7 linked regions of the Kluyveromyces lactis genome follow. The protein of the gene in region 4 purifies or fractionates together with the protein of the main gene of each other region. This does not show direct contact. Links are inferred from orthologs where the notes say so. Each region holds a gene or a part of one and is shown on either strand. Other genes may lie near its edges. The genes, in order: UTP20, PUF6, RLP7, NOP4, BRX1, DBP9 and YTM1.

Evidence for each region.
Region 1: the proteins of NOP4 (region 4) and UTP20 purify together in Saccharomyces cerevisiae (affinity purification with mass spectrometry, with the first as the bait; 3 studies listed by BioGRID). This does not show direct contact. The link is inferred for Kluyveromyces lactis from reciprocal best matches to the Saccharomyces cerevisiae genes NOP4 and UTP20.
Region 2: the proteins of NOP4 (region 4) and PUF6 purify together in Saccharomyces cerevisiae (affinity purification with mass spectrometry; 3 studies listed by BioGRID, with this or other methods). This does not show direct contact. The link is inferred for Kluyveromyces lactis from reciprocal best matches to the Saccharomyces cerevisiae genes NOP4 and PUF6.
Region 3: the proteins of NOP4 (region 4) and RLP7 purify together in Saccharomyces cerevisiae (affinity purification with mass spectrometry, with the first as the bait; 4 studies listed by BioGRID). This does not show direct contact. The link is inferred for Kluyveromyces lactis from reciprocal best matches to the Saccharomyces cerevisiae genes NOP4 and RLP7.
Region 5: the proteins of NOP4 (region 4) and BRX1 purify together in Saccharomyces cerevisiae (affinity purification with mass spectrometry; 4 studies listed by BioGRID, with this or other methods). This does not show direct contact. The link is inferred for Kluyveromyces lactis from reciprocal best matches to the Saccharomyces cerevisiae genes NOP4 and BRX1.
Region 6: the proteins of NOP4 (region 4) and DBP9 purify together in Saccharomyces cerevisiae (affinity purification with mass spectrometry, with the first as the bait; 3 studies listed by BioGRID). This does not show direct contact. The link is inferred for Kluyveromyces lactis from reciprocal best matches to the Saccharomyces cerevisiae genes NOP4 and DBP9.
Region 7: the proteins of NOP4 (region 4) and YTM1 purify together in Saccharomyces cerevisiae (affinity purification with mass spectrometry; 3 studies listed by BioGRID). This does not show direct contact. The link is inferred for Kluyveromyces lactis from reciprocal best matches to the Saccharomyces cerevisiae genes NOP4 and YTM1.

Annotation. Positions count from the first base shown.
Region 1 is NC_006041.1:1,543,540-1,547,839, reverse strand, and holds part of UTP20 (Utp20p), read left to right. Parts: coding exon 1-4,300. UniProt on the Saccharomyces cerevisiae protein: Involved in nucleolar processing of pre-18S ribosomal RNA and ribosome assembly.
Region 2 is NC_006039.1:1,047,744-1,051,601, reverse strand, and holds PUF6 (pumilio-family RNA binding domain-containing protein), read right to left. Parts: upstream 2,490-3,858; coding exon 501-2,489; downstream 1-500. Other genes in the region: CORVET complex subunit VPS3, read right to left, coding at 1-290; myo-inositol transporter ITR1, read right to left, coding at 3,045-3,858. UniProt on the Saccharomyces cerevisiae protein: RNA-binding protein involved in post-transcriptional regulation. Component of the ASH1 mRNP which transports the ASH1 mRNA to the distal tip of the bud, where the ASH1 protein is translated and targeted to the daughter cell nucleus.
Region 3 is NC_006040.1:418,128-420,891, reverse strand, and holds RLP7 (Rlp7p), read right to left. Parts: upstream 1,458-2,764; coding exon 501-1,457; downstream 1-500. UniProt on the Saccharomyces cerevisiae protein: Involved in the biogenesis of the 60S ribosomal subunit. May act as a specificity factor that binds precursor rRNAs and tethers the enzymes that carry out the early 5' to 3' exonucleolytic reactions that generate the mature rRNAs.
Region 4 is NC_006040.1:1,003,846-1,007,636, reverse strand, and holds NOP4 (mRNA-binding ribosome biosynthesis protein NOP4), read right to left. Parts: upstream 2,559-3,791; coding exon 501-2,558; downstream 1-500. Other genes in the region: cyclin-dependent serine/threonine protein kinase SSN3, read left to right, coding at 1-397; CHL4 (Chl4p), read left to right, coding at 3,020-3,791. UniProt on the Saccharomyces cerevisiae protein: Required for 60S ribosomal subunit synthesis. Probably involved in the processing of 27S rRNA to produce mature 25S rRNA.
Region 5 is NC_006041.1:1,577,273-1,580,130, forward strand, and holds BRX1 (ribosome biogenesis protein BRX1), read left to right. Parts: upstream 1-1,461; coding exon 1,462-2,358; downstream 2,359-2,858. Other genes in the region: MDM20 (Mdm20p), read right to left, coding at 1-849. UniProt on the Saccharomyces cerevisiae protein: Required for biogenesis of the 60S ribosomal subunit.
Region 6 is NC_006039.1:416,717-420,289, forward strand, and holds DBP9 (ATP-dependent DNA/RNA helicase), read right to left. Parts: upstream 2,286-3,573; coding exon 501-2,285; downstream 1-500. Other genes in the region: PEX8 (Pex8p), read left to right, coding at 1-440; cleavage polyadenylation factor subunit YSH1, read right to left, coding at 2,875-3,573.
Region 7 is NC_006039.1:647,173-650,332, forward strand, and holds YTM1 (Ytm1p), read right to left. Parts: upstream 1,836-3,160; coding exon 501-1,835; downstream 1-500. Other genes in the region: KLLA0_C07403g (uncharacterized protein), read left to right, coding at 1-383; FSF1 (Fsf1p), read left to right, coding at 2,946-3,160. UniProt on the Saccharomyces cerevisiae protein: Component of the NOP7 complex, which is required for maturation of the 25S and 5.8S ribosomal RNAs and formation of the 60S ribosome.

The sequences.
Region 1 (4,300 bases), on a different chromosome or scaffold from region 4:
TCGGCCGTGTTCAAACCCCAAATACAAGTGGTCTCAAGAAGAGCAGGAAAACTGCAGTAATCACTATTTTGCCTAGTTTGGAAAACCGCTACATTATACAGTTTTTGCAGCTCGCCACGGGAAAGTTCAAATATGAATACTTCTTTGAGAATGGGAATAAAATTGACCTTACTTATGCGACTTCTCTGACCTTAAGAAAGATGCTTGGTTTCATCAATGTCGTTAATTCGTCATTGGCAGTGTTGGGTTCCCAATATCCCGACGTGATGAAAACTGTTATAAGGCCTCTAATATATGCTATCAACATGTCAAACTTTATTGTTTCTGAAAAGTCCGATGAGCAATTTGTCGAAAAGGTAGCATCTAACTTGAGGCAAATAGGACATAAGTGTTTGCATAATCTCTTTAGTCAACTAGGAGACGTTTTGGATTGGAGGCCTTTTACTGCTGACATATTCAATAATGTGATTACACCCCGTCTAGAGAAATTTGAAGATGAGAACTTGCAACAGGTATCATCTGTCATGAAAATTATTACATACTGGGCTGAACAAAAATCACTCTACAGTTTCCTATACTTTGATGATTTGTCTGCTGTAGCTGCCTTGATGAAAACATTACAAAATTCAAATGCAAAGGAGTCTGTAGTGGGTGTGATATTGAATTTCTGTAATAAGATAATCAATAACCCTGACCAGGACCCAAAGTATGTTGAGCTAATCATTATGATAGTTACGATTTGCTTGCAGCAGTTGCCTGTGCTACTACAAAGGTGCACGGAAAGTACTGTTATTTCTGCTGCAGTAGACTTGTTGCTAAATATCACCGAACTTGGTTATGTTGAAGATAACGAAACAAGAGAATTGTTGGTGGGTTCATTGACTCAAGCATTGCAAAAAGATCTCTCGCAATTCACTGTGAAAGATAAAGTGAAACTTTTGAAGACATTATCAACTTTGATGGATAATTTCGACTGTTCGTTTTCACAAGTTGAACCATTGTACATTGCCGCATCTAAATTATACAGATCTTATTCTGATAAGGATCTCAGACAGGCATTGAACAATATTTTTGTGAGCATTGGTGCGAGGTTCAACGAATATGAGGCTGTTGGGGCGCTGTTGGCTGATTTAAATTCGTATTCGACCAGCAGAATGAGAGAATATGACTTTGAAAGAAGATTACCGGCATTCAAGCGCTTCACAGAGAAAGAATGTGACTCTTACACAGAAATGCAATGGTTGCCTGTAATCTACTCATGCTTGTTTTTCATCAATGACACTCAAGAATTAGCTATTAGAACTAATGCTTCTCACACATTAAATCGATTTGTTGATTGTATGAACTCAAAGCTCTCAGTTGAAGATGCAAGTGCATACATAGACATAATGAAAACCATCATTTTACCAAATATCAGGTCAGGTTTAAGAAAGAACATTGAAGAGATTCAAAATGAATATATCTCTCTCATTGCTTATATTGTCACAAACTCTCAATATCTGTTTGAAATTGAAGATATGAAAGTTCTATTACACAATGGTGATGAAGAAGCTGATTTCTTCGTTAATATAAACCATATTCAGTTGCATCGTCGTCAAAGAGCTGTCAGACGTCTAAAAGACTATGCTCCAAAGCTTTCTGACAACAGTATTTCGCACTACTTAATTCCTATGGTCGAGCGCTATGTTTTCTCTACCGAAGAGAAGTACAGAAACATTGGTAACGAAACCCTTATCACTATCGGTACTCTATCGAACTATATGTCATGGAACCAATACAAAGCCTTATTCAGAAGGTACAGCTCTATGTTGAAGAAGAATACTGAAAAACAAAAGGAAGTGGTTTCCCTTCTTGTCAATATTTCTGTTTCCTTAAAGAACTCTTTACAAGCAATGAGAACTGGAGATGAATCCCTACCAACACTCAGAAAGTTCCCAAAAAGCTATCAAGAACCGGAAGCTTTCATAACAAAAGATATCTTCCCTAGCTTGAGTAAGATCTTATCGACTAGAGATGACGAAACAATTGTGTCTAGAGTTCACTTATCAGAAGCATTAGTGAACCTCGCATTGGGCTTGGAAAAGGATGACACTGCGGCACTTTTGCCTGGTATTTTAACCAGTGTATGTCAGGTTTTACGTAGTAGATCGGAAGAATTGCGTGAGGCAGTGAGAAAGAACTTAGCAAATCTTACTGTTATACTAGGCCCACAATACTTATCTTTCGTCATCAAGGAGTTAAAGTCAGCTCTTACCAGGGGCTCCCAAATCCATGTTTTGAGTTATTCTTTGCATTTCGTATTGATGTCAATCTCTGAAACCCTTGTTCATGGTGATCTTGATGAATCTGTTGGTATGATAGTCGATGTTATCATGGAGGATATTTTTGGTGCTGCTGGTCAAGAAAAGGATGCAGAAGGATACACATCCAAAATGAAAGAAGTCAAATTTAATAAAAGTTATGATACCGGTGAATTGGTAACATCCAACATCACCCTCCCAATGTTTGGGTCGTTATTGCGCCCTGTCAATGTATTGTTGCATGAAAGGCTTGCTCTAAAATCGCAAAACAAACTCAATGAATTATTAAGAAGGTATGCCTTGGGTTTGAATCATAATCAAGAAGCGTCATCTCCAGACGTTCTCAAATTGTGCTATGAGATATTTAATCAATCTCACTCAGACAAGAGTAATAGACCCAATAAAGTCAGAACCACTAAAGATGAGCGTGCAGATTTCTTTTTAGTTGATCTTAACTTTAAATCAGGCACTGTCCAGAACGATACAACTATTTACGCTCATACTTTGCAAAAATTCTCCTTAGATCTATTGAGAACGGCTGTTACCAAAAATGCCAACCTAATGGAAGTTAAATATCTACAGCCTTTCATCCCATTAATGAAAGAAACTCTTGTATCTGATAACGAGGGTGTTGTCATGGCTACTTTACGCCTTTTGACTATAATAATTAAGTTGGATTTCGAAGAAGAAGCTGAGGCTATATTCAAAAATTGTGCCAGAAAGGTCTTAGAAATTGTCAAGAATTCACCATCAACATCATCAGACTTGTGTCAGATGGGCCTCAAATTTTTATCAGTCATGCTCCGCCATAAAGATATTCAATTGAAAGATACTGCCCTGGGTTACTTGTTAGGACGTCTCCAACCTGACTTGATGGAACCTAGCAAACAGGGGTTGGCGTTCAACTTCGTCAAAGCCTTGCTATCAAAGCACATAGTACTTCCAGAACTTTATGATGTTGTAGACAATATTGCGGAAATCATGGTTACAAATCATTCTAAGGAGATCAGAGATGTTGCCAGAGGTGTGTACTATCATTTCCTTATGGAATATGATCAGAGTAAAGGAAGATTAGAAAAACAGTTCCGTTTTATGTTGAACAACTTGCAGTATCCATCTCAGGAAGGTCGTCAATCAGTCTTAGAACTCGTCAACTTAGTCATTAACAAATCTGGTGCAGAACTTGTGAAGAAAATTTCATCATCTTTCTTTGTTTCCTTGGCGAACGTTTGCGTCCAAGATGATGCCCCGAAGTGTCGTGAAATGGCTTCCGTTCTTCTTGCCTCACTCTTTGAAAAATTGGGGAAAGCAAATGTAAAGGAAATCGAAAAGTTCATTACCGCGTGGTTAAAGCAGGCTGACAATGAACAATTTTTGAGTTTGGGTTTAAAGATCTACAAGATTTACCTGAATAAACTTGGAGCTGGAGTAAACCCTTCTCTTGACACATTAGCGATAACTCGTGTGAAGTCTATTATTTCCAATACAAACGTCGGATCAGATTCTTCATGGGACCTCGTTTATACCGCATTATCTGTCTTCACTGTTTATGTTGCTAAAAATGAAGGCCAAGCATTCAGTAGCGAATTTGATGAGACCTGGAAGCAAATTGCCAACTGTCTGTTATACCCTCATTCTTGGGTTCGTCTCTCGGCTGTTCGTCTCGTCAATCAATTGATTAACAATCTTTCCAAGCTTGAGGCTCCATTGGATGACTATCAAATTCAAACGATCGCATATAGAATTTTCCGTCTGTTGGGAGCACCAAAATTACCTGAAAACTTGTCGTCAGTTGCTGTGAAGACTCTTCTAGTTATAATCATGAAATGGAATGAAAATAATACGCCGTACATTCATAATTCAGAAGAGAATTCAGTGTCCAGATATTCAAACGCGATAGAGTTTGCCATTGCTAGAACTGGTTGGATAATCAGAAGTGAGGATAATCCAAACGATTCTCATAATTCGAAAAAAGCTGCCATTCAGCTGGCTGCATTAAC
Region 2 (3,858 bases), on a different chromosome or scaffold from region 4:
AACACTAAGGCTCTATCAATTTTCGGCAGTAGCGTTATGCCATCAATTCCTGTTGGTCTGTCTTCATTGAAGTTGACTTCCGAGATCAGTGTGAAATTTCCAACATCTAATTCATAATAGTGTAGTAACGCTCCTGAAGTCGAGCCCAGGTAGATGTGCTGACCATAATATTCGATACATGAGTACTCATATTCATGAGGCACATTCTCGATTAATGGTGAAACAGCATATAATCCATCGGTTACTTCAAAGGCAGTTGAAATGGGTTTCTCTTTAGTATCGTCATTCATAAGCCATCAATGCCACTGCTGTAATTAGTGAATTGAGGAATAAATGTTCTTAGCTGTATTATCTCTGGTTCGCAGATGATAGTCTCATTTAAGGAAGTGTGAATCTTAATAGTAGACTAGAACGTCCTTCGTCCACAATGATGAGAAGCTATATCATCTTTAATATACATATTTTAGAGCCAAACTATATAACGACTTGACTATACATACTCAATGCTTCATTAGCTTTAGAAGTAGTTGAGCACCCTTGTTTGAATCGTTCGTCTCTATTTTCTTGATCACTTTTTTCAAATCATGATCGAATTGTTCCCCTTCTTCAGTCCCATGTAAGGCTTCATACAATGCCACAATGGTAAAAGAACTGTTGGGTTTGTTGATCCAATCGAGTAGGTTGCTGGAATCAATGATGTCTTCATAAAATTTTTCAGCAAATGGAATACCAAGTCCCTGAACTTTTTCTAGAGGTTCTAGTTTTCTTGCTTTCACGTTGTATCTACCATTTTGAATGAGAGACTTTAGCAACCTTGCCGAAAATGGTTTGTTAATAGGGTGGTCTTCTTCTGAAATGTCACCTTTGAAATAAATGGCGACGGTGTCCACAAGCTCGGCAAACAACTTTTGATCAGACTCTGAAAGTTGTTCATAGACATCATCGTTAACGAGTAAATCTGCGACAAATTGAGAACCGATGTTTTCATCTAGAATGGTTTTGTAGTGTTCGTTTACGCCAGATAAAATCATTGGTGCGAACCTTTTTAATAATTCAAGTCTTCTTTGGTCAAATGGCTTCTTGGAAGTAGTTTCCGACATCTTAATGTATCTTTGTAGTTCATTCTTCATATTTGGACCGAAGTATTTACCATCTAATCCTAAAAGTAGGAATAAGAGCGGCCTCCTACCAAATTTATCAACAATCAATTCTGGAAGATGTTCCTTAATTGGTGGGGAAAATGCCTTGGAGACGAGAACAGTATCATCGACTGTCATTAATAAAGTTATGAAAACAACGGCACCGTGTTCATTTTGAATTAACTTGATTGCATGTTCTTTCAAGGTCTTTATCAACCCCTTTCTTTCTTTGGCATTTGCTTTAGCGATTAAAGTAGATGCAACTTCTGCACCTTCTGGGGTATGCACTAATTCCGCAAAGTTCTCTTCTAAAAGTTCGATGAACTCAGATGTTTCTTTATCGTTGGCGATTTTGACGTATTCCCTCATTGCTGCGTGTAAAATCTGGAAACCTGCCGAACCTTTTTCAACAGAAGCAGTGATGGTACCAATCAAGTTTCTAGCGATAATATTTCTCTTTTCTACGCTGGAAGCACAAACTTCTTCGAGCGTAAGTTCCTTATGAGATTCTCTGAATACGGCGTATTCTGAACCCCAAAATTCTCTGATCATTTGATTTCTTTGTTCTTGAGAGGCATAAAGAACAAACAAATCTTCGACCACATAGGCACCTTCACGGTGTCTCATTAGTTTTCTCAAATTACCATGTAGTTGATCGATTATGATTTGTCTAGATTTTCGGGAACCATAATGTAACAATTTAACCAACAAATATTTACCATATGATGATGTGGCCAAAACATAAATTTTATCTTTCAATGCCAACGTGATCTGTTCTCTGCGCTCTTTGGAAGAATATTTGACTAATGTCTGGACAATTCTGGATGCATCATGCTTCAATACTAAATCTTCAATACAATCATTCGAGAGTTCCCAGATCTCATTACATAGCTTTTCACGGACAGGCTTTGGAATTGGAGGGTTCTTGACACGTAATCTTTCCCATAAAGACTTGATCTGCTGGACTGTTTCACCAGATTTACGCTGAAGTTTTCTCTCCTTTAATGTTTTTCTTTGTTCGGCATGCTGGCTGACACCATTACTTTCTTTTTTGTCTGCATCATTTCCGGTTCCAGCATCTTCTTCATCTTCAGCATCTTCTTGATCCTCATCAGATTCATCCAGTTGATCAGATTCGTTGTCTAGCTCGTCTGAATCTGAATTTGAGCTAGCATCATCTAATTCATCATCTAGCTCATCTTCTGAAGATAAACCGTGGAGGACATCATCAGAATCTTCATCGCCAGAATCAACACTAATGTTTTTAGCTCTTTTTACAATTTTACCAGAATCCTTCGACTCCTTAGATTCCAATTGACGCTTGTTCAACTTTTTCGACGTGGCTGCCATATCTGTAGTGCTGTATTGTCCTACGAGAGAGAATAAGAATGTATATGTTGTTATTTAATGCTACCCATAGTGCAGTTACTACTGTATAAGCTCATCTCATCTCATCGCTTCTTTTTCAAGTTCAGAAAATTTTCATAATATGCTAAAAAGAAAGAACTCAAATAAACATTCGCCAGAATCTCTCTTTTTTTGATGGGGGGAATATACAGTTGGTACAGGATTTGGCTGATTAAACCGAATATGGCAGTTTATTACATGCTTCAAAGATTTAGCTCTATTTCTCGAAAGCTCTCTCTTCCGAGTTAGTTAATTATGAAATGAGTAAATGTCACCCTTTCAAACTAACGAGATTTTTATTGTAAATCACAAACAAGTTGAGTTTTACACATGACAATGATAATATTACAGTAGTAATTGTGGACAACTTTAGCAGCTATAGTTGTTAATTCTAAAAGATTTTATGGTTATCTATATACTCAACTTCATATGAAGTTCATTGAAAAACCAAGACAGTAGCTTCGGGTATGAGAATAAGAGGGAATGACTGCATTTACATTAACTTTCAAGTAGTTCATCGGAGGGTTTATCCTTTTGATAAGCTTCCATGTCCTTTTCTCTAAATCTCCTTTGCATTTCGCTATTTTGTTGCTTTCTCTTCTTGGCTAGTTGTTTGGAAGCTTTGATGTTGAATCCATCACTTAAAATAGTTTGTACTTCCTCCAATTCTAGACCAGATAGTTCTGGATAACAGAGATAACAGAAGACGGTAGATACTGCAGCTAGTGCAGCAAATAATGAAAATGTACCAGTCGGTGTTATGTTTTGTAACATTGTTAGGAAGGTAGATGCAATAATTAGGGAACCAGCCCAGTTAGTAGCTGTACAATAAGAAGTACCTACACCTCTAACGGATGTTGCAAATAATTCAGATTGCTGCCATGGTACAGTACCGATACCTAGAGCATAGAATGCTGCATATACCATGATGAATACGATAACGACTATACCCCAAGAACTGAATCCACCATTGGAAACTTCCGATTCACCAGCGCCAGTGAATTTTATATCTAGGAAATGGAAGGCGATAGCACACATAACCAAGGAAACCATCATACCAGGCAAGCCAATCAAAAGGATTGCTCTACGACCGACCTTATCAATCGCAAAGAAAGCGACTAAAGTGAATACGAAGTTAGTACCGGCAACGATGATAGACACTGCAGTAGAATTTTCGAAACCAACAGTTTGAAAAATAGTACCAGAGAAATACATTAAAGAATTCCAACCACAGAATTGTTGAATACCTTGTAAAGCACAACCGATCACCAATGCCCTGAAATTGCATGGGACAGTATGTAATTCTTTGACA
Region 3 (2,764 bases), about 590 kb from region 4:
TGTAGTGTGGGATACTTTTTACTTCTTCAAATAGGTATCAACAATAAAAATAAATCGAAGCAAATGTAGGAATGCGTTAAAGCAGATGTACTTACTTAGAGTACATAGATATATTTATATAATTCAATATATAAAAGTATATGAAGCATCTGATGTTGAACCTGTCATGACTCTAAACTGGAATGGGTAGTTATGCTTCTGAAGGTTTTCCGTTAGAAAATGAGTGCAGGGATCAGGCCCGGAACCGGTTTTAGCCTGAAAGGAAAAGAAAAAAATGCGGTGATTACTAGCACGTGACTGCGCTGAATTGGAATCCACCACAAGTACAGCGAATGGCAAGAGGGAAGGGGAATATATTGTGCCTGGCGGTAGCGTCTGCTATATCAAATGTTAAACATAACTAAATGCAGTAGTGAATAGAGTAATGTATTTCTACATATGTGGGTAGGGCCAATGGGAGCCCGATGTCTATTGTACAGATATTTTCCTTTTATAGTTAATCAATTCAACTTGGAAATCATTGAGTCGATATCTACTTGGATAACTGGAGCCGTGGCAGCGTTTGAAATTTGACGAGTCTTCTTGTTTTGTTCGCGCATTTTCAGTTTATTCAAACGGGAGATGGCACCGAATCCACTGACTTCTCTGTTCAATTTGAATGGTAATAGGAAGAAAGTACATTTCGAGAAATTTTCGCCCAACGTCGAAATCTCATGGATGATATCCTCGATACAAATGACACCTTCATCACCTAATTTCTCTTCAACGATATTGTTGTCATTCAAGATTATCTCTTTTGGTTCTTTATCTTCTGGCCTTTGCCACATTATTCTAGATCTCTTTTGGATTAAAGAACGGATAGATGCAAGTGAAGGTTGTCCGATAACAATATATGGTGATACAAGTTTCAACAATGGGTACACGTCCTTGGTAAGTTTGATGAAAACACCAGTGTTCAACTCAACAAGTCTCAAAAGAGATAACACTTTGTAAGCCTTTGCTGGGATCTTCACAGCTGTGGGTCCTTTCACTCTTATAACAAATAATAAGCTTGGCTCACCATCGTATACGATTTTTTCCCTGATTAACCCATCGTCCTCTTCATCTTCCTCATCAACATCTTGAAGCTCAGATTCGGATGTAGCCTTACTACCGGCTTCTCTTTCAGAGATACGCAAGATAAAATCCCTATCGGATGGGATATGTGACAAATCGTTCTTGACCTTTTGGTTTTCTAAGTCTCTGACTCTTCTGATTCTGGTCTTTTCTCTCTCAGTAGCCAAAGTTGTGGCGACTATCGTCTCAGCTCTAACAAATCTGTTCTTCTTACTACGTTTCTGTTTCTCTTCTTGCTCCTTTCTCTTCTTGGCAAGCTCCTGCTTCTCCAACCTAGTACGATCAGCATTTCTTCTCTTTCTTAAAAGAACCTCTGGGTTCGAGTTCAATGGTTGTGACATTTGTTGCTTCTATATTACTGCCCTGTTTATTAATCTCAGCACAAACCAGCTCTATATAATACAACTTATATGCTCCTAATACTTCAGATTAGCCAAGGTCATCTCTCATTGAAAGCTTTATTCATAATCTTTAATTTCATCTCATCGCATCTCATCGCACTGAACTTTTTTTTCCTCGCCAAAAAAATTTTCTGTAACGAAAAGAAACACTTCCAGTCACGTGAACTGTGAAACCAAGATCTTCTGTTTGACACTCAGACAAGTAGATGATCAATTACAATTACAATTACAAGCTGACCTCGAATAGGGTACTGGCAAGTTGGCGTTTACCTGGGATGATCTGTTGCTGCAGCATGGTGTACCCCAGCAAGATTCTTCAGAATTAAATGGGAACATTTCGGAAAGTTACCCAAAGAATGGGAAGCAAGTTAAATAGTCAAATAGTCAAATTGTGACTGTCTATATGTGAATCGTATATACAGAGACGAATTTTCAAGCAGTTTCCCCTATCTACCTGCTGCAGGAACTAGCACTTCTAACCGGCAGTAAAGTTTTCCGTATCAGCTCATGAAATCGTTATATCTTGGCTTTTGACACTGGCTTTCGAGGTGGCTTTAGGAGTCTCGAAATGTGTGCCCACAGCAGTGTTTCCTTCGAAACCAGCCGTGGCTCCATTCTTTGTACCATCTATGCCGCTCTCTGTTTCGAAACAACCGTGAGATCAACTGTGGTTCAAGTTCTCAACACAGAACAAGTAAGAAAAAAAAGAAATGGGAAAAGGTCCCTCGAGAGGAAGAATGCTGAAAAGGCAGAGAAGGAACCTCAGAGCAAAGTCCGCCCTTTATCATAAATCGGCGGTCTTTTCTTACAACAGAGATCCCAGTGGGGCGGCTCGAACGACGGAAAAAATTTCGAACGATTTAACCGTGAACGCATGCCTGTCCCTAAATTGTAGGACGTTTTCCTCGATTTAAATTCCAAATCACTGAGCGATACCGCTGACAGCACTGGAATTATGCTACTCTTAAGTTATATTTTTCCCTTCGCTCACGTGATTCTAGGAAGATAGTAAATACACTGTGCCGTTTGTTGAGCTACAGCGTGAACAGTAGGAAATGTACTTCCACTACGGGCTGACTAAGTCCACGCTCGAAGGAATAAAAATCACTTCGAGTGTCTTATGTTTTTCTTTTCTATCAAAACGACAAGTACGATAAAAAAACCGGCATGAAAATCGAGTAGTGGTTATCAGAATGAACATTGCAGGACCCGCGCTGAACCCAAAAGTCGACTTTCTTGATTCTTAA
Region 4 (3,791 bases):
TTTAGACATTCTTTACCGTCTATTGCAGTATGATCCTATCAAGAGAATCGATGCAATCGACGCTTTAGACCATGTCTATTTCACCAACGGCGACCCTCCTGTCTGTGAAAATGTGTTCGAGGGTCTCAACTACAAATACCCACCAAGGCGCATTCACACAAACGATAACGACATTACGAATGTCGGCAATGATAATAATCAAGCTAATCACTCTCAAAAACAACCAATGCATGGTAACAATAATAATAAGAATGGGAACATGAACGGATTAGGTGTAAACAAACGTATCTTGGCAGCAGCAGCGGCAGCTGCCGCTGCAGCTGCTGTGTCTGGTAATGGAAACAACCCCACAAGCAATACTGCAACCGGAGGATCAGCACGGAAAAAGAGAAAATGATTCTATAATTGAAATGCATGTTATTTAATATACAGATTTTATATCCTAGAAACTTCATTGCTTCGGAATGCTTTGAATTTTTGCCTTTGACTATTGTTTACATTCAAGAACGGCCCTTGTTCTTTCTTCTACGTTTAGATCCAATAATCTGTTTAATATTATTACTTAGACCAGATTTTGTTTCCTCTTCTACTGGTTGAGCCACTTTTTCTTCTTCTTTATTCTCTTCATCATCTCTTTTTCTCTTGAAAGATATCAATCTAGATTCTTTGACCTTTTCTCTTCTTCTCTTCACAACGTTAGCGTTTTCGATAGCAAATTCGACCACCAGTCTTCTTTTTTTGAAACTGTCTGCATCAAGCTGTTTCTTTTCATCATCCGTAAGTCCTTCTAAGATTTCGTCCCTACTGACTTCATGAGCATTTAACCATCTTAGACACATTAGCGCAGCTTTATGATCCCTGAATTCAACAAAACCATACCCTCTACTTCTACCACCGCTAGATCCTTTAATTTCCATGATAATTTTAGATTGTCTAACAATACCTTGTTTCTTGTCCTTCTTCTTTTGAGCTTCGATTTCTTCTTCAGACATGAACTTGTACTTTTCCTTAGTAGATCTGACGATTTCTTCTTTATTCAATGCGTGTCTCTTGTTTTCGTTAACTTCTTTGGCGAACTCTACTACAGCTTTACGAGCTAGCGCCTTTAGACCCTTCTCAGTCATTGCTCTTGGAATATTTCTGATAGCCAATCTAGTCATCGAAAGATGTAACGTTGGATTCTTCTTCAATTGTTCGACTCTTAACTTGTAAGATTTTTCTCTGACTTCCATATCAGCAGGAGTTAACAACTGTGAAAGCTTTGAACCTGCAACAATTCTACCTTCATTTAACAAATATAGATTACGTCTGTCCTTTTCACCTGGTGCCTTACCAAGAACTTCTTTTCTCTTCTCGGCATTTCTCTCAAACATTCTTCCAGCAGATTCTCTATCAAGAGTTGGAGAAATTGCAAGAACACGACCCTCATAAACATACTCTGGGGAAACATCATCACTTATTAGAAGGGATGTACTTCCTGTAGCAGGAGCATTATTTAGACAGTCGTTGTAAGCATCTTCGCTTCTGAATGCAACGAAAGCAGTACCCTTCGCCAAACCAGTTTCTTTATCAATCACTGGCAAAGCGTATTTTACTGGGCCGAACACGCCGAAATGACGTTCTAAGGATTCTTGAGTGGCATCGTATGGAACATTACGCACAAAAATAGAGAAATCTTCCTTTCTGTTCTTCTTTACGGTATCCTGTTCTGGTGTTTCCTCCTCTTCGCTGATTTCTTCATCAGAATCCAAGACGATGTCACTTTTTTCTTCTTTTTCTTTGTCGTCCTGATTGTCAGCGTCCTCTTCACCCGAATCAGAACCATCATCCTCATCATCATCATCATCTTCTTCTTCTTCTTCCTCATCTTCATCAGACGCTTCCAGTTCCTTATGTTCGTTCTTATAGTCCTCCCATCTGTTCTTTTGAATTGCAAAATCAACAGCCACTTTCCTGCCATCGATCTTCAAATCCTTAGTGCCTTCTATAGCAGCCTTACAGTTAGAGATCCTGTTCATTGTAACAAAAGCAAACCCACATAATCTACCGTCTCTCTTCCTTGGGATCGTAGCTTCAACAACGGTACCGTACAATCCGAAGATTTTCTTCAGTTTCGTCGGATCACGACAGGACCATGGCATATTTCTGATAATTAATTTCGGTTTACCCTTCATTAAATCATTATCATCTTCGGGTTTGCTTTCCTCCTCATCTTTAACATTATCTACGGAAGGTGCTGATGATACCTCATCCGCATCCTTTTTACCACGGGAACGTTCTCTTCTTTTGGCAATATCGATTCTCAACAAACGTCCCATAAACTTCGTCTTTCTAGCCTGATTCAAAGCAGTCTTAGTATCATCTTCAACTGCAAAACTAACAAAACCAAATCCTCTGCTTGCACCCTCACCATCTTTGACAATAACAGCATGCTTGATAGGAGAGAATTGGGAGAAGAAGTTACCGAATTCTTCATCGGTAGACTCAAACGGCACACCACGAACAAATAACGTCTTCAGATCAAGACCTTCATCCTTAATAACTTTCTTATCACTCATCACAGATATATTAAGCACAAATCTGCGTCGTTTGATGTAGACGCTAACAAAATAAGTATATAAATGTGTTCATTAACCTTCTACTATATATATACTAGATATCAATACTAATGGTTCTTGGGCGATGAGATGAGATGAGCTTTAAAATTTTTTGACAAAAAGAAATCAAGCGGACTGAAAAGCTGTAAGATTTAAAGAGATGAACAGATCACGTGTGGATATTCCTGGCATATACGGCTGTTCAATACCTCTGTTCTCCGATGCAATACAACTTTCCTGGTTCTATGAAGATATTCTGTCAATCTTATACGACAGTTAGACCAATTTAGTTGATTGTTCTCACTTTCTTGTCAGAATCAATACTATATAAAATGCATGGAATTTTAACATCGACTATAATCTGAAACTATGGAAAGGTTTGATGACCCTTAATCCTTATGTTCTTTTTATGATGGTGTTATATGGACGGTGAACAGCATATTATTGGGACGGCCAAGATGGAACGCACGCTTCGAAATGACAATAATAATGTAGATATTACAGTTACAAAGAATAAACTTGCTAGGCTCGGTGCACAGGCAATAGTGAAACTGATCACTACCTGGCTTGATACACATGCCATTAATGATTCACAGCTGGTCTCGGATAATTTAGTTGAATTGGTGAAAAAACATGGGGTACGGAATATTGCTAATATGGCTGTCACGAGTTGGTGGCCTTCTTTATCTCGAGAACAGTTATCACAACTGGATATCTGGTCTGTTTTATGTGACACTTCAACTAACCAATGGGTAGCGTCCAGATGTTTGGATAGAGATGGAAAGCAATTTATCGTAAATGTGGAGCCGAATGAGCTTATCAATGGTATGCGCGAACAGTTTAAACGACTTTACGAATTGGATGTTAACATTGAGGAAAACGATGATTTAAGTATGTACATATGCCGAGTTCAGTTGTTCGAATCAACTGGCGACCTTATTATCAATACACACAAACCGTTCTACTTTGCTATTATGCCGGGACACTCGATTATCTTCCACTCGTTGCAGTCTGATACTCACTCACAACTTATATTACTGGCATTCTCAAAGCTACATTCCAAGACAATCAGGTTGGAAAGAATTAGCAGGAAACCAACCACGTCATTACACGAATTAAACCTTTCTCTAGGGCTGCCGTCTGTAAATACTACAGGGTATGGGATTTGGTCCGTATATTCGGGCAAGGATGCAC
Region 5 (2,858 bases), on a different chromosome or scaffold from region 4:
GATTTCCAAAACTTCCAATAACTCATCGAATGACTTGCCAAGTTTGTAACTTGCATCTATAATCTTTTGCAAAATACCATAATCGTCAAGGTTATTCAATAACGAGATTCCATGTTTCCAAATGAGTTTATAATCGTCTAATTTCACCAAATGGCCCATAAGGAAGTTTTTCAAATAAAGGTCTAAGTAAGTACCATGTTTCCAAAACTTGAGGATCTCGTCCACGATCTCCTGTGATTTATCCTCAAACAATTCACAAACTTTACAGAAAACGATCAACTCTTGCTCATTCTCAAAAGGTTTCAAATCGCTTGTCAATTTATATGTCAACTTAGGTAAAAGATCCAATTCCCTTTCGTTAATGTTATCTTTATCCAACTGAAACCATACTACAGTAGCAATACTGTTCCAGAATTGGAACAATCTCGATTTCGATTTTTCATTGACTCGTGGCATCTGGAAACTACTCTTACTCAAATGTCTCCAATTTAAATCCCTCAATGACTCCAAGAACCAATCATAACATGTCTCCGAATTACCGTATTTCATCATTGCTCTTTCATAAGGTTCCAATGCACTGGTGGTGTCAAAACCTAATTCCAACAAAAATCGATGGCACATTGATAGCGATTTCGCATCGCTTGGAGGAGATTTGGCATCCAAGATCAACTTTAACCCATTTTCAAAACTATATTTCGCAGGAGATTGCCTGTACTTGACATATTGCTCTAACACTTTGTAATAAGTGGCGGATGGGTACCGTTTCTGCAATGATGCAACAAACTGTGAAGCTTTCTTAAACAGTTCCCTATCTAATAGCTGAAAAAGCTGATGATCTTCAGAGTTCATATCAACAGTTTCCACTCTTCGTGTTGGTCGATATCAAATCTAACAGATCAAACAGCAACGAACACCGTTACTGCCAGACATACCGGGTTGTTCTACGAACGACGTGCGTATGAGGTTGTTCATTAGAAGTTTGAATGCTGAATTAAGCCAATATCGTAATTTTTCAGTCTTGATTACCCGGATAATAAACTATAACTGTATGTGTATCCATAAATGTAAACGGCACAGCCTAACAAGGGCATCAGCGCTCTTACTGCTTGAAATATAAACGCAAGACCTCACCATACAATCCCCACCCGCGTTGAATCTGATAGAAGCCAGTTGGCAGACGATACGAACATTTTCTTTTCGAGAAACTATCCTTTTCTATTTTAAATCATCACTGATGAGCCTTAGTTTCTTTTTCGGTACATTGAAAATTTTTGAAAAGTTAGAAAAGGCGATGAGATGAGATGAGATGAGATGAGATGAGATGAGAAGAGGTATTGAACAAGGTTGTCCTGATCCTTCCAATCTATACATCGTCGGTCTAAACACTTTGAGATTATTGTATTACACTTGAGTAGTTGGAAGGAAGAAAAAGCCAAGAACTGCTAAGCAAATCCTTCTATAATGTCGAGTATTTTCAAGACTTTGTCTCGTAAGGATAAAGACGGTAAGAAGAACAAAAATAATGCGGCTAACAGTGACAGTAATGAGAAACAGTTCATGAATAAGCAACGTACCTTACTTATTACGTCCAGAGGTGTTACTTATAGACATCGTCATTTGGTTCAGGATTTGAACAGTCTTCTACCACATTCGAGAAAGGAACCTAAGTTGGACACGAAGAAGGATCTAGGACAATTGAATGAGATTGCGGAATTGTACAACTGTAATAACATTATATTCTTTGAAGCTAGAAAGCACCAGGATTTGTACCTATGGCTATCAAAGCCACCAAATGGACCAACAATCAAGTTTTATTTGCAGAACCTACATACCATGGACGAATTAAACTTCACTGGCAACTGTTTGAAGGGATCCAGACCAATATTGTCATTTGATGGTAGATTTGATTCTGAACCGCACTACCGTTTAATTAAAGAACTTTTTATCCATAACTTCGGTGTACCACCTCAAGCTAGAAAGTCCAAGCCATTCATTGACCATATCATGTCTTTCAGTATAGTTGACGAAAAGATCTGGGTAAGAACGTATGAGATCTCGCATGAAGCTAGGAACAACGTTGAATATGAGGATAAAGAAGAAGATGAAACGTCGTTAGTTGAAATTGGCCCACGTTTCGTGATGACACCGATTTTGATCCTTGAAGGTTCATTTGGTGGTCCAAAGATCTACGAAAACAGACAATACGTATCGCCAAACTTCGTTAGATCTCAAATTAAACAACAGGCTGCCAAGGAAGCTAAGACCAGAGCCGAAGCTGCTGTTGAAAGGAAACTAAAGAAGAGAGAAAGTGTCTTGGCTGTAGATCCATTATCCAACGATGCATTGTTCAAAGATTAAAGTACAATCCAGAACTCTAGAAAAAATCATGATTTATATATTGTCAACTTAGGAGAACGGCGTTCTTCCTGCTCAGACTTGTACATATGTATACTCCTATATATATGCTTTTGAATGGGCTGTTTTTGATAATATAATTTTTCGTTTTATTCCTAACTATACTATACGTTAAAGTCGTACATGAATATTTAATTTATTTAGTTAACTTGGGGGGCCAGAATACCAGTTAAACTTGAAGCGTCATGAAACGTCATGGGGAAAACGTTTTTACATTTGGTGTGAACCACAGTGTGCTGTTTGAAATGTTTTTTTTATCATTTGTTTGAATTTTAATAGATTTATTAATATTTTACTTGCCCAATGCCATTGCATTCTTCTATTCCCCAAATACGAAGATGTTATGCGTAGTAATAACAAATCATACTGTATAATTTTCAGGAAACGTGAATTGAACAGTCAAGTGGGTAGAATTAATAAGGAAGTAAAAATGTCCTGACTTT
Region 6 (3,573 bases), on a different chromosome or scaffold from region 4:
CAGATGTCACAAACTTTAAACTCAAAAGATTGAGGCTATACTTACATGATTGTTTCAGACAATGCAGTGCATCTTTAATGACAGAAAAACAATTAATTGTAATTTGGAAAAGCATACTTCCAACTATAAGATATCTTTCTAATTATGACAATGACTTAATCCGGGATCTAATTCATTCGACCTATATTAGAATAATCAACACTGAAAATTTACAAATGAAATCCACTAGCATACAATGTCTCATAGAACAATTCCACAATGTGCCTGATGAATACTTATGGGATTGGTTAGATGCATGTAACGAATTAGCCCGAACTCTTCCGCCTCTAATGAAAGAACATATCATTACTAAATTATGGGAGTATATATCACATTCTCACAATGAACTAGCAATTAGATGGTGGTATGATAGGATAGTTCCAAATTTATCAAGAATTTGATCTATACTTATATATTCCTAGTGCTAATGTTAAATAGGCTGGTCGTAATTAATTGAATATCTATTTGAAGCTTTTCAAAGGATCAGATTTACCCTTTCTTTGGACATTCCCCTTCTTCTTAACCACTCTTCCGTTCTTTCTATGCGAATTTTTGTGGAATGGAACGAAACCGATCTTCTTATTATCTTTCCTAGCAGTTTCTGGTAAAAGATAGTCCGGAACTCTTTTTAAATGCTGTTGTACACGAGCAGGATGTAACTCCTTGTCATGTCTCAAACTCTCTAAGTCATGAGGATTCTCTTCAAAATGTCTCTTTAGTTTCTCACTTGCCAAAAGTTCCTGTTTTAACTCCTTTATCCTTGCCTCTCTAATAGCAACCTGAGTTACTGCACGGAAACCGTCTTCCATTCTATAACGGAAACCTTCGACCTGTTTGATATCAAAGTTGTAAGGCTGTAGTTCAAAGCCTAATTTAGCCTGTTGTTTTATAATTCTGCCTAGTATCTTTTCATCCTTCTTAGCACTCTTGATCATAGATGGTTTATGCTTCCCGAATTCCTTCAAAGGAACAACAAAAGAAATAGAAATTCCTGACTTCCCTGCACGAGCTGTTCTACCAATTCTATGTACATACGATTTTGCAGTGGTTGGTAGATCAAAGTTTAATACACAGGCAACATTTTTGAAGTCCACACCGCGAGATACACCATATTCTTTGTCTTTCTCCACGTTTAGCTTTGGCTTCTTTTGTTTCTTTGCATTGTCTTTCGTAGTAACAGTGGAATCATCGACAACCTCAACTAAACCATCCTCAGTTTTTTCTGATTCTAAGTCTTCGTCTTCTTCTTTGATATATTCAGTATCGTCTGTAGCTATTAACAGTTGATAAACGTTCTTGTTGAATTCTTCTACGATATGCTGTCTTGAATTTGCTGGCAGTTCACTGTTCAAAATGCAAGATTTAATACCAAACTGTTCTAAAACTAGCTTTAGTCTGTATCCTCTATCGATATTGTTAACGAAGATTAATGTCTTACCCTTAATTAGTCCCAGTTTGAAAATCACATAACACAATAGGAACTTATCAAATTCTCCAACCTTCACATAATATTGAATAAGCTTTGTTTGATCTTTGTTGACTTCGTCGTCATTAAGTTTCAAAATCGCTGGTGAACGGCAGAATTGCTGCTTCAAGTGTTGGATATCGTCATTTAGAGTGGCACTCATCAAGAAAGTTTGTAAACTCTTTCTCAATGGTAAGCGTTCTGAAATCTTCGTAAGGTCCTCTTGGTATCCGAAAGTTAACACCAAATCAACTTCATCGATAACCAAGAACTTCAACCTGTCAATATTAACATCTTGCGCATCTAGTAAATCTACTAACTTGGCCGGCGTAGCTATCAATATTTCTGGATTTTCGGTAAGTAAAGATTTCAATAAGTTTCCCGATACATTACCCGATGAAAGATTTAAGCATTTAATTTCTTGAGAACAGAAAACAATGAGCTTTTCAACAACTTCTAAAACTTGCTGAGCCAATTCTCTAGTTGGGACCAATATTACCCCTAGAGTGGCACCTTCATCATTCTGATCTGCCTTCTTATGATCTAAAATTGTTTGAATCACTGGTATCAAATATGCTAAAGTTTTACCAGAGCCGGTACTAGCTTTCGCTATGATATCCCTTTTCTCTTGAAGAGCTAATGGTATCGCACTGGATTGGATCAAAGTAGGGTGTTTGAAGCCGATACTGCGGATGGCTTGTGATAAACGTGAATCCAAGTGGAACGAATCGAAAGAAGAAGAATCATCAATGTATCCCTGGGAAGCGCTTGTTTGAGCCATATTGAAGCGTTTTTCTGGACTCTAGCTCTCGTCGAACACTTTAACTATAACCTCGGTTGTAAGTTTCGATCAAAAGGTTAATGCTGCTGATAGTTGAGACCCATTTAGCCTGTTTTACAGCTCTTGTACGTTCAGACTCTGGATGAGATGAGATGAGCTTCCCAAAAATTTTCTTGAGGTGCAAAAAGAAACTACACAGGCAAAAGGATTTATGAGTCACGTGATTGAGTTATCTTGTCTCTTCTGGATTGGCAATGTGAATGAAATACCTCACTGTAGCTCTGATTTTGCCATGGTATTGGTAGATTGATTTAAAATTTACTGTTATAATGAGAATATATATATATATATCGCGTTTAGTAGTTTAGTAAATGGTTTTTTGTCCTCTTGGTGTCTTTTGTAACTTGTCGAAAACGATATGTTCATTCAGTTAATTGAAACTTGAATGCATCTTTAAAGTTTTAATAGATTATTTAGTACAGAGGAACACCTTGGCAAGATGGCAGTATAGGGTTGAAAAGTATATAGTTAATGCAAAAAGATGATTAATGACTAGCTCATATATAATCATATCTATATATGAGACAGATTAACACAATGGGGCCACCAAGTCGGAGCCAATTTTTAATAAACTCTCTATTCTACCTTTCAATGGATTAGAGTTACATTCTTCCACAACCATTTTTGAGAAGTTTATACATGCTGTTGTTTTTCCTAAGTTGATAGTGCCTTTTATTTCTTCTTTGGAGTCTTCCTCATTCAAAAATAATGTAAAAGTATCACCAAACTGTTCCTTGAAAACTCTCGATATGTTCTTAATTTTAGTCGTGTGATCATCGTGTCCATGATGATGTCCACATGACTTCGAACTCATTTTGATACTTGCTGGAGCGCTCTCGACACTCAGTAGAATTGCCATGACACTATCCGCGACTGAATCACTGATAACATTCTGAGTCCATTGCAATGTAGCTACATTGTCAACTATATTTAATATTACATCTCCCATGATTTTTATTTCTAGTTCACCCTTCTTTATCTTCCTCGTCTTGAATTCGGGATTGATGTTCTTCAATGAGACGTTTTCTTCGTCAATGTATACATCTACGTCACCAAACATTTGGCAGATATGCCAATATACTAGTTCGCTTTTACAGTCCAAGTGGACTGTCTGTCTTTCTGTCAAAACTGTAGTAGATAATTGTTGATAATGTTCTCTTAAATCTGAAAGCGAAACTAAACTTAGATCAAAATTCTTCTCATCTGACACCAATATACCTGAAACTAT
Region 7 (3,160 bases), on a different chromosome or scaffold from region 4:
AAAAGCCAGAGAACTTAACAGTACTTTTCGGTGACTTTTGCTGCTATAAACCAGAGAAAAAATACAAAAATATAATAGTATGTTCTGCATTCTTTATTGACACAGCAGCAAACATGTTTGATTACTTCAATGCTATTGAGATGCTTTCTAACAATTGTACAGGACGTTTACACTGGGTTAATGTTGGACCGTTGAAATACGGAACTAGACCACTAGTACAATTCACATACGATGAGCTAGCAAGACTACGTAAATTACGTGGATGGGAAGATCATTCCAACCAGGTTGATGTTAAAAATTTGAATGGTTACCTAACAGACTACGAATCCTTATTCCAAGGGTTTTATGGTCTAGCCAAATTCCATTCGGAACTAAAAAGATAATTAACATTAGAACCCTGCAAATACTATGTTGTTTCTCAACATTTTTTGTGGTACATTTCTTTTATATTTAAGTGAACTAGTGAGCATAATTCCTGTATATAATATATAAAATTACGATTAGTTACTAAATATATTATCACCTTTATTAATTTGAATTTTTTTGTCTTGACCACCGCTGATGATACCTACGCCTTTAGCCCATTTGACAGCAAACACTTTATCATTGACACCTTTAACAACATTTTTATCTTCTCTGGTGATAGTGTACATTGCAGTGTTAGACCTAACATCCCAAACCTTGACAGTTCCATCGTGAGATGCAGAGCATATCATATATTCATTTTCTGGACAAGTATCCAAAGCGACAACGAAGTTCTTGTGACCTACAAGCTGCTGTTGGGTGATTTTAGATGAAGAATTTACACGAGGATCATGAAGAGTAATGTGTCTGGCACTCGACCCGCATGCTAAGAGATTTAATTTTGGTAGTTGCGCAACAGAAAGAAGTGAGTACGATGTCGTCTTTGTATCGACACATTTTGCCGTTATCAGATCCCATGTTTTTATAGTATGATCTTGTGACACGGAATACCCAACAGTATCATCCGATTTATCGAAAATGACAGCCTCTACTGGAGCACTGTGAGATTCAAAAAGAGCCAAAGGGGCTCTTCTTCTGATAGATCCATCTTTTAGAGTCAACTTTCTCCTCTTCTTGGCTGCAGTAGACACGTTGCCTCCTAAATCCTCCATCGGATCAATGACAGTCATCTCTTTATAATTCGTGGACCACAAGCTCACCGTATTATCGCATGATGCAGATAGAATACGGTCTTTCGAAACATCAATGGACACTACAGGGGCTTTATGACCTTCCAAGATGGCCAATGTCTTACCATCCTCAATTTCTTCTTCATCAATTGATTTCAAATCATCATTCTTCGTTTTCCACAGACGTAGAGTGCGATCATTCCCTGCGGACACCAATCTCGTACTAGAAATGTAATGCACAGCACGAATAGGGCCAGAATGACCACTGTATTGTTTTTCGACTTTCCCTGACAAGTTGTACGTTCTTACGATACCGTCATAGGAACCACTGTAGATGTAATTGCTTCCGACATCCAATGAGCTTACCCAATCTTCGTTATCAAAACTAGACAAATATGAAGGTGGTAGCACTGCTCTAGTATATTCAACATTCAAAAAGGTTTCCGATGATAAACCTTTCTTGATCAAATAGTCCTGCAACGATGTTCTCAAAAGTTCACCATCGATAAGGAAATCAAATGGCATAGATTTAGGTAATTCCAGTAGGTGATTAACAATTTCAGAAAGACCATATCTCTTTAGACTAACTGGAGCATAGATTGGAGCATCATTGACATGTAAAGTCTCATCTTCTTCACGAGTAAAGAAGCGTAGCTTCACCTGAGTCTTATCTGTTGACATATTCCCCTACAGTTTACTTCTCCTTATAACTAAGATATTCTTCCAGTGAATTCTAGTTTGAATTGTCTAATAGATTGTGATCGCACGTTGTTACTGAGGTACGATGGAGCGCGTTAACTCTATTCTTCCTATCTTGTACATTTTCTAAGCGTTGTAAGATGCGATGAGCTTGGAAAATTTTTGGGAAACAAACCACTGCTCGAAAAAGAAATCCGCCAGAAATAAATGCCAGTCACGTGTATATGTTTTAAGGAACCGGGTAGTGGAAATTAGTCAGTACACCAATAGCTAAGTGACAGACTAATGACCGTGTAATACTAAACATTTTCACGAGTAATATATGGTATATACAAGTATAAGTAAATTCAGGAGTGACAAGAGATAGAGAATGTCCCGCTCACGCAGCTACCAATTAAAGCCAATTGATGAAAAATAGTTAAGTACTTTAATCAGTATGAGGTACGCTCGCGGATAGAATTTTCATCTAGCCGTTCTTTTCCCCTCTGTTCATCTACGGTGTATCAGATGGCACAGTGAATAGAAGGCATTAATATGTTTCGTATCACTTTTTTAAGCCAAATAATCAAAAGAACAGTCGACTCGAATTTGATTAACTTAGAGTACTTGCTTTAACCTTGTCTTTTTCTCAAGGTGAAAAGCTTCTCAATTTATACTGGATGTCTGTTCTTTTTTTTTTTCAGGCAGAGAAAATTAGTTGTCCGGGTAAATTATCATATTACCTTTAGACATGTTAAGAATATGATTAGGGCAAAGACAAATATGTTATTGCTAAATTGGAAATCGAAGTGGTTGGAATCATCATCGTTTCACTAGTACAGTTTCTCCGAGAATAAGAGAATTATAATAACCTATTGCTAGATCAATAATTACTGTCTTTTTTCTTATCAGAATTCCAGCAGCTTTGTAACGCCGTACGTATCATTCTGACGCTGCAGAATGAAAAAAAAAAATGCAAGCTCGAGAGAATAATGCATTTATATCTAAAGAGTCATCTCATCTCGAAAGTAATTAAGCAAGAACAAAGTCGTGTTTGTCTCGTAGAAGCTCAGCTCATCCAAAAGACTTCGATACACTTGAGTACAGCTTATCATGGCATCCAGTGTCCCAGGTCCAATTGCCCTACCAGAATCTCGTTATGATCTAAGCACCTATTGGGGACGTGTTCGTCACTGCGCAGAGATTTCTGATCCAACGATGTTGTTAACGAGCAGTGATGATCTTCAACAAGCTCGCAAAATCATCAGTGCATATCGCCATGGAGAGTTGAAAGAAACGACGCCTGAGTTCTGGCATGCAAAGAAACA